Oryctolagus cuniculus: one gene and its partners. The protein of the gene in region 3 interacts with the protein of the main gene of each other region in a pairwise test. Links are inferred from orthologs where the notes say so. Each region holds a gene or a part of one and is shown on either strand. Other genes may lie near its edges.

Region 1 (3,675 bases), on a different chromosome or scaffold from region 3:
ATCTTCCCTAAAATAGCCATCTTTTACTATCACCCTAAGATATTTTCATTAACACTTTTGCAAAGGTTTTCCCAAACTACTGGACTATTTTAATAGACAGTCCAGAATGCAAATACAGTAGGCTAGATATTGGCAAACAAGATGCCAGAAAAAAATATAAAAAGATTTTCTAAGTTTGACTCTGTTGAGATCATTAATCTAAAGTTCTTAAAAGAAAGGATGATCTGGCACTACACTTACTTAAATTCTATAGTCCTTGCCATTTATTGGCCATCCTTCCTTTTTGCCCCTGGAAAAATCCTCCTCGATCCTTTCTGCTCTTCCAAATCTCACTGCTAATAACATCCTTACAGGTTTCTTTTCCAGAGTCTTCCAAAACCCAATGGGCAAGCCAAAGTCACTACATTCCTCTGAAATCCTGTTGCTCCAATCTATACTGCATATTTGGAACTTGCTATATCTACTGACATTTGATATGCATAAAATCTACATTCTAAAAAAAAAAATCTACATTCTATATTCCATTTATAAGTTCCTTGGGGAACTTATAAAACCATAGCACTGTTAAACCCTAGCACTATCAGAATGCCTTACAGGAAAATGATTTCTACCTCCAAAAGAATGTTCTTACCATTTTCCAAATTCGTCTGGAAGTATCTGAATCTCACCACTACATTGGTAAGGATGACTCCTATTTATCCTATTTTACAAAAGGAGAAACAAATTCTGAAGCTGAGTAATTTCTCAAAATCTCATTCAACTAATTAATTTTCAAGGTCTATTTATAGTACTAAACATATGTAGCAAATATAGGAACCTCCCTGAACAGCAGAGGTTTAAAAAATCTCCATATAGTGGCAAATCCAAAAATTCATGTTCTTTACTGCTTCCAGGATAAACACTAATTAGGAACCTTACATCAACTCGGGCTAACCACGTAACACCAACTTTGTCCTCGGAGCCCTTGATAAAGAAAAAATTGCCAACATAGCAAATTTTTCAAGTAAGAAATTCTAGTAAAATCGTATAGCTACTGTTTAGTACGAAAAGATATTTCAGCATCAAACCACAATATTACAAAATTTGAAGTCAGAATGCGTTTTGCAACAGTCATGTGACACACACATGACAGTCAGCTAAACTGAAGAGTTGACTTTTCAGGGGGATATGTCTACCAGTAACTGACCAAAGCAAAAAATAAAAAAACTTTTGGGACAAATACTAATTTTTGCTTTTAGAAATCCTCCTGAAAAGGTTTCCGGCGCTGAAGAATACCAATTAAATTATCAACTTTTCATTAATTTACATATATGTAAACTGTAGGAAGTGTTTTTTCTTAAGGGCCATAAAGAACTCAACTAAACTCTTCCCCAAGGCAAGTGAACACTAGTTCCCAGGAAAAGTGCCAGGTGTGTCACATCTGTTGTGGTGACCTCTTGAGTAAGCAAGGAAAAGAAATGCATTAACTTTTCATGACACGTCATGGAAGCTCATTCCCTATCTACAAGCATTCAAGTAGGTAATCCAAAACCTACACGATCTACCATAGGTCCCACTCGTTTCTCTTTCAACTTGACAGTAGTCCTTGTCCAATTCGGTAGTACCCTTGGTTTTAGTTCTGTTTTTTTTTTTTCTCCCTCCCTTGACCTATAGAAGACAAAATGACTTAGGTGTCCTCTAACAACAAATTCTCCCAAATGTCCAGGGCTTTGGGAGGGCGATGGACCAGGCAAGTTCTTAAAGAACTCCTCCAGGAGATAACTCCAAACGAGAACTAAGCATTTTAAATCGCTGCTCACCATCTCTCCGCTCCTTGCCCTCAATCCCACGCAGTCCCGAGAAGCATCCATATTACCTGCAACCTGGCGGGGAGGGTGGCACGACAGGGAACCAGCAAGCTCAGGCTTTACAAGTAAAGCTGGTTTCCAACCCGGCGATCCTGACAGCTCCGCAGAGCGCGGGCGCGGGGTCTGACAGTGCCCTCTGGGGGAGCTCTCCCACCCTTCTCCTCCCCTTAAAAACAAATGCCCCTTCCAAAGTTACTGCCCCCGGAGGAAGCTGACCCTTCAGGCCGCTCCGCCACCGGACTGCCCAACGCCCCAAGGCCCTCCGCAGCGGCCCGGCACTCAGGCCCTGAGGCGGACCCGGCCGAGGCCCGGGCCGCTCACCTCTCCGGCCGACCCCTCCCCCCGGCCGCCCCTCCGCCGTCAGACAATGGGGCCCGACTCCCGGCCTCAAGCCTCTAAGGCCCCGTCACCCTTGCCTCCCTCGGGCCAATGCCCGCGCCCCTGCCCCAGCCCTCCTCGCCCCGCTTAAGCTTCCCAAGCTGGCCCACCGACCCAGCCGACCGGTGTTCTCCTGCACTCACTATTCGGGATTCATGCTGGACATGTCACTGCAGCTGCCGCCGCCGCCACCGCCGCCCTTGCTGCCGCAGCCGCCGCCCTGACTCTCCGCGCCACGGGTAATCGAAGGAAAGGAATGAGATGGGCTGTTCCGGGAGAGCAAACGTCTTCCCCCGCTCCGTCCCCTTAGAACACAATCAGCAGCCGCCGCCACTCAGCTATCGCTTCCACCCAAAATGGCCGCCGGCGAACCAGGAAATAGGGAAGCCTCGGACCAAGGGGTCTTTACACGGCCCGGAGGGCGGCCTCGGCGCGTGGCATGCCGGGAAGGAGAGTCGCGAGCGCAGCTACACGCGCAGAAGACCGACGGTGCGGCAAGGCGGCCGGGACTCCGCTTCCCGCCAAGCCCCGCGACTCTGGTGCATGCGTACTTGTGCGGTTGTCGCCCGCTCCATTCCCCACTCCCTCACCCCCCACCCTCCGCCCCTCCCTGCTCCCCTCCCCGTTGACTCGCTGGCTAGGACTTCGCTCGGACTCCCCCTAGCGGATTGGCTAAGGCCGAGAGGCCCCGGTGATGTCACCAGTGAGACGTGGCAGCCGGGCGAGTCAGCGCCCCACGGGGGAGGGGGTGGGAAGAGGCAGAGGGCGGTACCGGCCGGGGCGGAGGATGGGGGTCACGGTGGGACCGCGGGGCGGGAGGGGTCTGGCCTGGTGGGACGGCCCGAGCGTGGGGGAAGGGGCGCGCGCCTGGCGGCCCCTGAGCCCCGCGCGGTTCTCGCAGGCCCGACGGGCTTGAGGCCTGCCCTTCGCCGCTGGTCCGAGGACGTAGGCTCAGAGGGCGGCGGGAAAGTCGGGGGCCTCTGCCGAGGACTTCCGGCGCCCTGGACTGCGCGCAGCCCTCTTCACTCACCCGACCCCACCCGGGTTCGGTCACTACCGTTTTCTTTTTGATTTTTACAGTCCTGGCCCAGCCCCACTCTTGTCATGTCACCTCAGCCTGGACATTTCAGTTGCCTGCAAGTGGACTATGCCCCAGCCCATTCGCACACAGCGCTTCCACCGTGACCCCACAACCTTCAAGGGCTCCACAGCCAGGGGTGGGACACAGCCCAGGCATGGCCTAAGAGTTGAGTCTACCTGCTCTCGGCCCAGCCTTCAGGCTGAATTGTTCTGCCTCTTTAAAAGTTGCCACTTAATTCTGAGCAAGATTGGAAAGTAATAAGCGATAAAAACGTACAATTCATCACTATATAGTGCCCACAGACTCCAGGAGTAATACTAACACATAAAAAAAAAAAAAAAAAACAACCTTATGGGCTTACCAGCTCTC
Region 2 (3,743 bases), on a different chromosome or scaffold from region 3:
GCCTCTCTGCTGAGCCGCCGACCTGCCTGGCCAGGTGTAATCTCTCCACTCAACCATGTAACCTGGCTCCTTCCCCCCGTCCAAGCGACTGCACTGTCTCTCAGGTCCCGTCCGGAGAGGTGCCCATCCGTTCTTGCGGATGTCCCTACCCTAATAAACTTCGCTACTTCTACTTTCCACTACTCTGTCTCATGCCTGAATTCTTTCTTGCACGAAGAACCCTGCCATTCTCCAGTAATAATTCCACTCATTAAACTATTCCAAAATCCTCAGAACAATCTCCCAAGGTTAAAGCCTTCCATGGAAGCCTGCTCTACAGAGTGTACACACCTGTGTGGGGCTTACAACAAAGACCAGTTCCCGTGACTGACCCCCACTCCCGAGGAGGTGATTTGGAAATCAGTAGGCGAGGGTGTCATCCTGCTCTTGGGAAATGTGTTGGGGATTTGGTCAAATGCTGGCCTGGAACCCAAGGTTCCTGAGCCAGAGGACAGAGGTCATGACTGAGGATGCAATTTAACTGGAATCTTCCCTGACCTTACTCCCATGGGCAAGGACACAGGCTTTAAGCATATTAGAGAGAGGCACTGAGCAGGGCCTTGCCGCAGGGTCCCTTAAAAGCTCCCAACAGGAAGCCTTCCATGCCATTCATGTGTCATACCCTCCTCCAGTGCAAACCTGGAAATGTTTAACTGGGGAAGGGAGTCCGAGAACAATGACAGTGAAGCCATTCACATGCCTCCGGGCCTTTAAAGGAAAAGTGCTGACAGAGGCAGGGTGGGAGTCTGTTCCCAGAAATGTCCCACATCGGGAGCACGAGGCTGGAGGCACTCGTGTGGAGACAACGAGGCGTCTGTGCCTGCGCCAAATGGTATATAAAAAACAGAACTTGCCAAGAATAGCCACAGTCCTGTTCCCCAAAACCGGGAACCCAAACGAATCTCCTCAAAGCTTTGCAGGACGGGAGCACGCAAGCCAACTGAGCGCAGAAGCAGGTGCCAGGGGCCAGACGTCCCCTTCGTCCACGCCCACAACTTCCTCCTGGGTGCTCACGTCACACAGGTGACCTAGAGTCGACCCAGAGGAAACCCGGACCTCCCCCACGCCCGCCGCACCGGATGCGGGCTGCCCGGCAGCTCGCAGCACTCACAACACCTGCAGTCTCCCACCCGAGTTGCCAGCCCTCCCCGTCGCCATGGCGCCGCCCGCGCCACGCAGCCCCGCCCCTTCCTCGCGACGTGGCCCCGCCCACCGCCGAACCCGGAAGCGGGAGGCTCGAGCCCGCTGAGCCAAGGTTCCGGAGGAGGAGGGAGCGCGACGGCCGAGCTCGCCGAGCCGCGCGCCCCGCCCCTCGGAGGCTGGCCTCCTGCGCGCGCCCCCGCTGCCGGCGGCCCCTGTGGGTCCCGAGCGCTCCCGGCCCCGGCCCGCTCCCGGGCCCAGCCGCCTCCACGGCCCGCCCCAGTGCTGGAGCAAGGAGCTGCCTAGGGCAGGAGGGCCGGGGACGTGGGGGCGGCCACGGCAGGTGAGGGCGGGCAAGGCCCTGGGCCGCGGGGCTGTGGGGGTGTGGCGTGTGTCGGGGCTGTGGGTGGTGGGTGTGTAGCGTGCGCAGCTGCCTCGGCCGGATGTGACTTTGTGAGTGTGAGTGTGATCCCGAGTGGGCCGGTCCATGTGACCATGCACGTGATCGCAGACCCGTGCGCGAGGGAGGTGTTTGTCCTGAGGCCGAGCCTGGGCTCGTGGCGGGGGTGGGCGGTGTGCCTGGGACCCTACCTTTGTGTGGCTGTCACCGTTGGGAGTGGGAGGCCTTGGAGTGGACAGAAGGCTTCCCGGGGACAGACGCCTGCAGACCCATCCTGGTGCTGCGCCGCAGAGCCCAGGAACTTTTCTGTTTTTCCCAGATAACTTTTAAGAACTCTGAACAAAGGCCACTTATTGTGGAGATTGTCCCTCGGCCTGAAAGTGACAGATGCCTTTGTCGTTGCTGATTTTCGGGCCAGGTAGACAGGGAATCAGGAGTCACAGGGCCTCTCCCCTGTTCCTGGGGAGTTACAAGTTAGACACTCTCGCTGTGTCTTTGTCTCCTGGAATGGTCCAGCTCCTATGGGCTGGGCCTGAGGGGTGTGTCCAGCGTTCCAAAAGCTTTTATATACCAAGAGCACAGGAGGAGCTGTCAGAGAAGAGATGTCAGGGAGGCAGCTTTCCCTCCCAAGAGGTTTGGCGATGATGAAATAGATTCCTGATGAGAAGCAGAGATCTTAAAAAAAAAAGGGGGGGGTGTCTGTGTACTGATGGGGTGAGGGATGGAGGCGTGTGTTAAAAAGCTCAGAACTCCATGCTGTAGTGCTTGTTTTTTTTGTTTGTTTTTGACAGGCAGAGTGGATAGTGTGAGAGAGAGAGAAAGGTCTTCCTTTACCGTTGGTTCACCCTCCAATTGCCACCACGGCTGGCACGCTGCGGCCGGCGCACCGCGCTGATCTGAAGCCAGGAGCCAGGTGCTTCTCCTGGTCTCCCATGGGGTGCAGGGCCCAAGCACTTGGGCCATCCTCCACTGCCCTCCCGGGCCACAGCAGAGAGCTGTCTTGGAAGAGGGGTAACTGGGACAGAATCCAGCACCCCGACTGGGACTAGAACCCGGTGTGCTGGTGCCGCAGGCGGAGGATTAGCCTACTGAGCCGCGGCGCCGGCCATGTAGTGCTTGGTTTTGCTGGTATTAATCGGGACAGGTCGCCCGCATGTAGAACAGCCATAGATTGAGATAAAGGATCAGAGACCTTGGACTAGCACAGCCGGGTGTGTGGTTGCAACACTTGTAAAGGCAGCTTCGTGGGCTGTAAACTGGCAGAGTGTGAGGGCCCCCAAGACAAGCTCGCACCCCGACCTGGCAGTGTGACTGTGCAGCAGCTCCAGGCCAGCGAGGACGGGGTCCCGGACACCCGGTGCCCTTAGGGGAGAGTGAGGCTGTCATCGCCGAAGCCTTTCCCTGCCAGCCAGAGCAGGTGCGTTCGTTTCTGTGAAAAACTCAGTCATGGGCGATGGAATCCGTGTTGCGCTCACCGTCCACATTCTTTCTGCCTTAATCCTGACCCGTTTGGTCACCATCTCAGCCAGCCTTCTTCGCCGTCTTGGAAAGTGTGCCCCTCGATGGATGAAAGAGAGCCAGGGGAACAGACCTTCCTTGTCAGACTGCTCAGCGGCTGTCCCTTGCGGAAGTGAGCTTTTCTTCACCTGGACGTCAGTTGGTCAATTGCAGCATTTGGTATCTGTCTCCCCTTTCATGTACTGCCAGACTAGCACAAGTGTTAAAATCACTTGTCGCCACAAAAATGTAGTCCCAGCTGAGTGCAGTCGCTCGGTCCGGCAAGGTTAGTTATAACTTGTTGTAATCGGGCGGTGGCCGCGAATTCTCCTGAGGACTGTTGGTAAGGAGCATCTTCCCACCTGCTGCTCTGGAGAGAAGTGGATGAGTGAGTGAGTCGGTGGGCTGTGTGAGAGTATGTGGATATGTGAGGTAGTTTGGTTTGCGCCCTGCAGCTGATTCCAAAACTGAATATTGTGTTCTACCCCTGGTTTGATGACTAGAAGCAATCTTTCAAGCTTTAAAAGATGAAGTATTTAGGGGATATGAGAATGTGGCCTGTCTGTCCAGGGAGAAAGTATTCCAGAATTAACTGTGTGGTTGTTCTTTCTGTTAAAAGTAGTAACCAGCTTAGAGGAAGGCTGTAGTTAAAATGGCTTAGTATTTG
Region 3 (3,743 bases):
TGCCAGTGACGTCACAGGAGACCCCGGGGGTACATGCCTGTGACATCACAGGAGACCCTGTGCTGAGTGACGTCACAGGAGACCGGGGGGCCGCGTGCCAGTGACGTCACAGGAGACCGGGGGGCCGCGTACCAGTGACGTCACAGGAGACCCTGCGGCTGTGTGCTGAGTGACGTCACAGGAGACCTGGGGGGCTGCGTGCCAGTGACGTCACAGGAGACCCGGGGGGCCACGTGCCATGACGTTACAGGAGACCCTGGGGGCCGTGTGCCAGTGACGTCACAGGAGACCCCGGGGGTACATGCCTGTGACATCACAGGAGACCCTGGGGGCCCTGTGCTGAGTGACGTCACAGGAGACTGGGGGGCCCCATGCCAGTGACGTCACAGGAGACCCGGGGGACCGTGTGCCAGTGATGTCACAGGAGACCCTGGGGCCGTGTGCCAGTGACATCACAGGAGACCCGGGGGGCCGCGTGCCAGTGACATCACAGGAGACCCTGGGGGCCGCGTGCCAAGTGATGTCACAGGAGACCCGGGGGCCCTGTGCTGAGTGACGTCACAGGAGACCTGGGGGCCGCGTGCTGTGTGACAGCGTCACAGCTTTATTTCAGGAAGCCACCCCCGACATGGGGCACGTGCTGGCGGTGGGCAGTGGGCAAGGGTGGGCGCCCGGCTGGGGGCCTCGCTGACGCCTCACACGGGCTCCAGGGGCTCCATGTGCAGCTCCTCCGCGTCCACAGCCTCCACCTTGTGGAAGGCGGCGTGGGAGCCGATGACCACCAGGGTGGCCCCTGAGGGAAACGGGCGGCTCAGGGCGGGTCCCCTGGCCCGGCCCCGCCGCCACCCCGCCACCCCGGCCCGGCACTCACCCAGCACCCAGAAGACAGCGGAGCCGGCCCCAGCCAGCCAGAAGAAGGGGAAGGAGACGCCTCCGGCCAGGGCGTACTGATGGGCTGGGCTCACCTCACGGCCTGCGGGCAGACGGCATGGGCAGCTGCCTCCACCCGGCCCCCCAAAGCGGCCCCTGCCCCCTGCCCGGCCCCCAGCGTCCCCACCGCCTCCCTCAGCTCCCAGCTCAGCTTCCAACGGCGAGTCTCAGCCGGTGGAGGACACAAATGGACAGAACCTCACACGGCCGAGACGCCACCTGCAGCCTGGCGAGGCCAGGGTGTGGCTGGGCTTCCTCAGGGACCCCTCCCCGCTCTGCCAACCCCAGCCCCCCTGCCCTTGGCTCCCTGATCCCGACCACCCCCTGGCTGCCCCCCAACCTGCCAGTTCTGCTCGGTAGCAGGAGGCACGGCCTGGACTCCCCTCCCCAAGCAGCCCCAAGACCTCCCCGGTCCCACCCCGGGGCGCAGACAGGTGGGGAGGGCCAGGCCGGTGCAAGGGCGCCACCTGGTGTCCCGTGTGGGGACGTGCAGCGATGCTTCCCGCAGAGGCGGGGAGGGCGCGGCGGCTGGGGCAGGGCTGGGGCTTAGCCAGGGGGTGAGCGAGGGCGACGCGGGGGCTGAGGCTGGGACACCAGCTGTGTCAGGCCTGCGGGAATCCCGAGAGCCAGGCTCGGGTGAGGCCCCAGGGACGGGGACTTGGGGGCCGAGGTCTGCGAGCCGAGAGGCCAGGAGGTGACTTCTCACCGAAGAGCACGAGCTTGGACTGCAACGTGCGCAGATACAGGATGTAGCAGGCGCCGAAGAAGACGGCCAGGGCCACCAGCAGCATGGGCGACGTCACCCTGGAGGAGGAGGGCAGGGAGGCGGAGGTCAGGAGGTCAGGGCCCGGGCCCGGCCGCAGCGGGCGGAGGCCAGGGCGCCCTGGGCGTGGGGCGGGCCGGCTCACACGCAGTACAGGATGAGGCCCAGGAACACGAACACGTAGTTGCTCTGGTAGTACTCCACATTGCGGACCAGGCGCTGGCACAGCTCGCCCAGGTTGCGGGGCCGCGAGAAACGCCGCTGGTCCACGAAGGCGCCCCACGGCCGGATGGTCGCCCGGCGCCGCTCCAGCCACTCGCGGCCGGCGCCGGACGGAATGAGCTTCGGCAGCAGGGTCCTGGAGGGCGGGGGGGGGGGGCAGCGGTGAGCCGGGACCCCCGACCCCTCCCAGACACCAGCGGAGGGGGGAGGGGAGGGCCGGCGCCTGGGCCCTGGGGCGGGCCGGGGCGGGGCAGGGAGGGGCTTCCCCTGGATCCCGGGGGAGGAAGGGGCCGGGGGACCGGACTCGCGTCCTAGAAAGACGTTTCGGTGTCCGGGGGCCAGGACCCCCGCGACTCGAGGGGAGAGGAGGCCGGGGCCGGCACCCCCGGGTTACAGCGGGCTCGCTCACGTGGCGCTCAGCCCTTCGGCCTCGGCCTCCTTCTGCTGGTCCTTCGGGGCCGCCATGTCTACGTTGTGAAGGGCAGAACCGCTGTAACTGGCCCCGGGCCCTGCAGACCCCTCGGGCCCCGCCGGTGCCAGGCCTCACCCAGCGGCGCGGACGTGGCTCCGCGTCGGCGCCGCTGGGGGAGGAGCTCTGCTCCCCGAGCATTGTGGGAGTTGTAGTCCCGACGGGCGACTGGGCGCCATGACGGCAGTCTGGCTCGCAGGGCATTGTGGGAGTTGTGGTCTCTCTGGGCATTGTGGGAGTTGTAGTTTCAGGAGTGGGAGGTGGGGAGTTAAGTGTTGTGTATTCTCCCTCGGAGGGTCCAGTGGGGACCGTGCGGGGCTGTCGTCCTGACTCTAGAAGGCATAAAAATGTACCCTGGCGGGCTTGATTAAACACTGAATCCTAGGCCTCGGGCCCAAATGTTCCGACTCAGCCAGTCTGGACTGCAGGCCATGAAATCCGCCTTTGTATCAAGTCCCCCGCGGGCCGCATACCGAGCCCCAGGGTTGCAGGGAATTTGTGGGCGTCCGTTCCGTCCTCGAGAGGTGGGGAGCGGGCCCCTCCCAGGGATCCCGGGGTGAGTAGGGTAACACTCGCGACAGCCACGAGGGGTTGAGGAGAGGGTTGAGAATTTTACTTTATGTTTTACATTTATTTCAGAGAGAGACACACACACACAACTCCCATCCACTCAACCCAGGTCTCCCACACGGGACCCAGGAGCCCGATCATCTCCCAGGGCCCCAGAACCCGAACCAGACCCAGTCACTCCGAGGTGGGACACAGGTGCCTTAACCACTAGGCTAATGGCCCTCTCCCCTAAGAGAACTTGTTGTTCTTGTTGCTATTTAGTATTTTATTTACTTACAGAGTTACAGAGAGAGAGAGAGAGAGAGAGAGATCATCCGTCCACTTGTTCACTCCCACATGGCCACAACGGCCAGAGCTGTGCCGATCCAAAGCCAGGAGCCAGGAGCTTCCTCTGGGTCTCCCACGTGGGTGCAGGGGCCCAAGCAGTTGAGCCATCCTCTGCTGCCTTCCCAGGCCACAGCAGAGAGCTGGGTCAGAAGAGGAGCAGCCAGGACTTGAACCAGCACCCGTAGGGGATGCCGACATCACAGGTAGAGGCTTAGCCCACCATGCCACAGCGCTGGCCCCTAAACAGAAGTGTGTGTGTGTGTGTGTGTGTGTGTGTGTGTTTAAAGGAGCTGTCAGCTCCAGCATTGTGGCACAGCAGGTTAAGCCACCGCCTGTGACGCTAGCATCCCATATGGGCAATGGTTTGAGTCCCAACTGCTCCACTTCCCATCCAGCTCCCTGTCAATATGCTTAGGAAAACAGTGGAAGAGGCCTCAAGGAGCCGGCGCTGTGGCGTAGCGG

Evidence for each region.
Region 1: the proteins of RABAC1 (region 3) and RAB1A interact in a two-hybrid assay, tested with the Homo sapiens proteins (2 studies listed by BioGRID and IntAct). The link is inferred for Oryctolagus cuniculus from reciprocal best matches to the Homo sapiens genes RABAC1 and RAB1A.
Region 2: the proteins of RABAC1 (region 3) and SPG21 interact in binary tests that used the Homo sapiens proteins (3 or more experiments, as listed by UniProt). The two-hybrid records come from large-scale screens. The link is inferred for Oryctolagus cuniculus from reciprocal best matches to the Homo sapiens genes RABAC1 and SPG21.

Annotation. Positions count from the first base shown.
Region 1 is NC_091433.1:137,617,919-137,621,593, reverse strand, and holds the start of RAB1A (ras-related protein Rab-1A), read right to left. Parts: upstream 2,818-3,675; 5' UTR 2,392-2,817; coding exon 2,369-2,391; intron 679-2,368; exon of another isoform or gene 555-678; intron 1-554. UniProt on the Homo sapiens protein: The small GTPases Rab are key regulators of intracellular membrane trafficking, from the formation of transport vesicles to their fusion with membranes.
Region 2 is NC_091443.1:88,008,688-88,012,430, reverse strand, and holds the start of SPG21 (maspardin), read left to right. Parts: upstream 1-1,292; 5' UTR 1,293-1,522; intron 1,523-1,616; exon of another isoform or gene 1,617-1,638; intron 1,639-1,718; exon of another isoform or gene 1,719-3,419; intron 3,420-3,743. UniProt on the Homo sapiens protein: May play a role as a negative regulatory factor in CD4-dependent T-cell activation.
Region 3 is NC_091449.1:12,583,736-12,587,478, forward strand, and holds RABAC1 (prenylated Rab acceptor protein 1), read right to left. Parts: upstream 2,522-3,743; 5' UTR 2,381-2,521; coding exon 2,325-2,380; intron 2,052-2,324; coding exon 1,839-2,051; intron 1,735-1,838; coding exon 1,637-1,734; intron 974-1,636; coding exon 872-973; intron 794-871; coding exon 696-793; 3' UTR 575-695; downstream 1-574. UniProt on the Homo sapiens protein: General Rab protein regulator required for vesicle formation from the Golgi complex. May control vesicle docking and fusion by mediating the action of Rab GTPases to the SNARE complexes.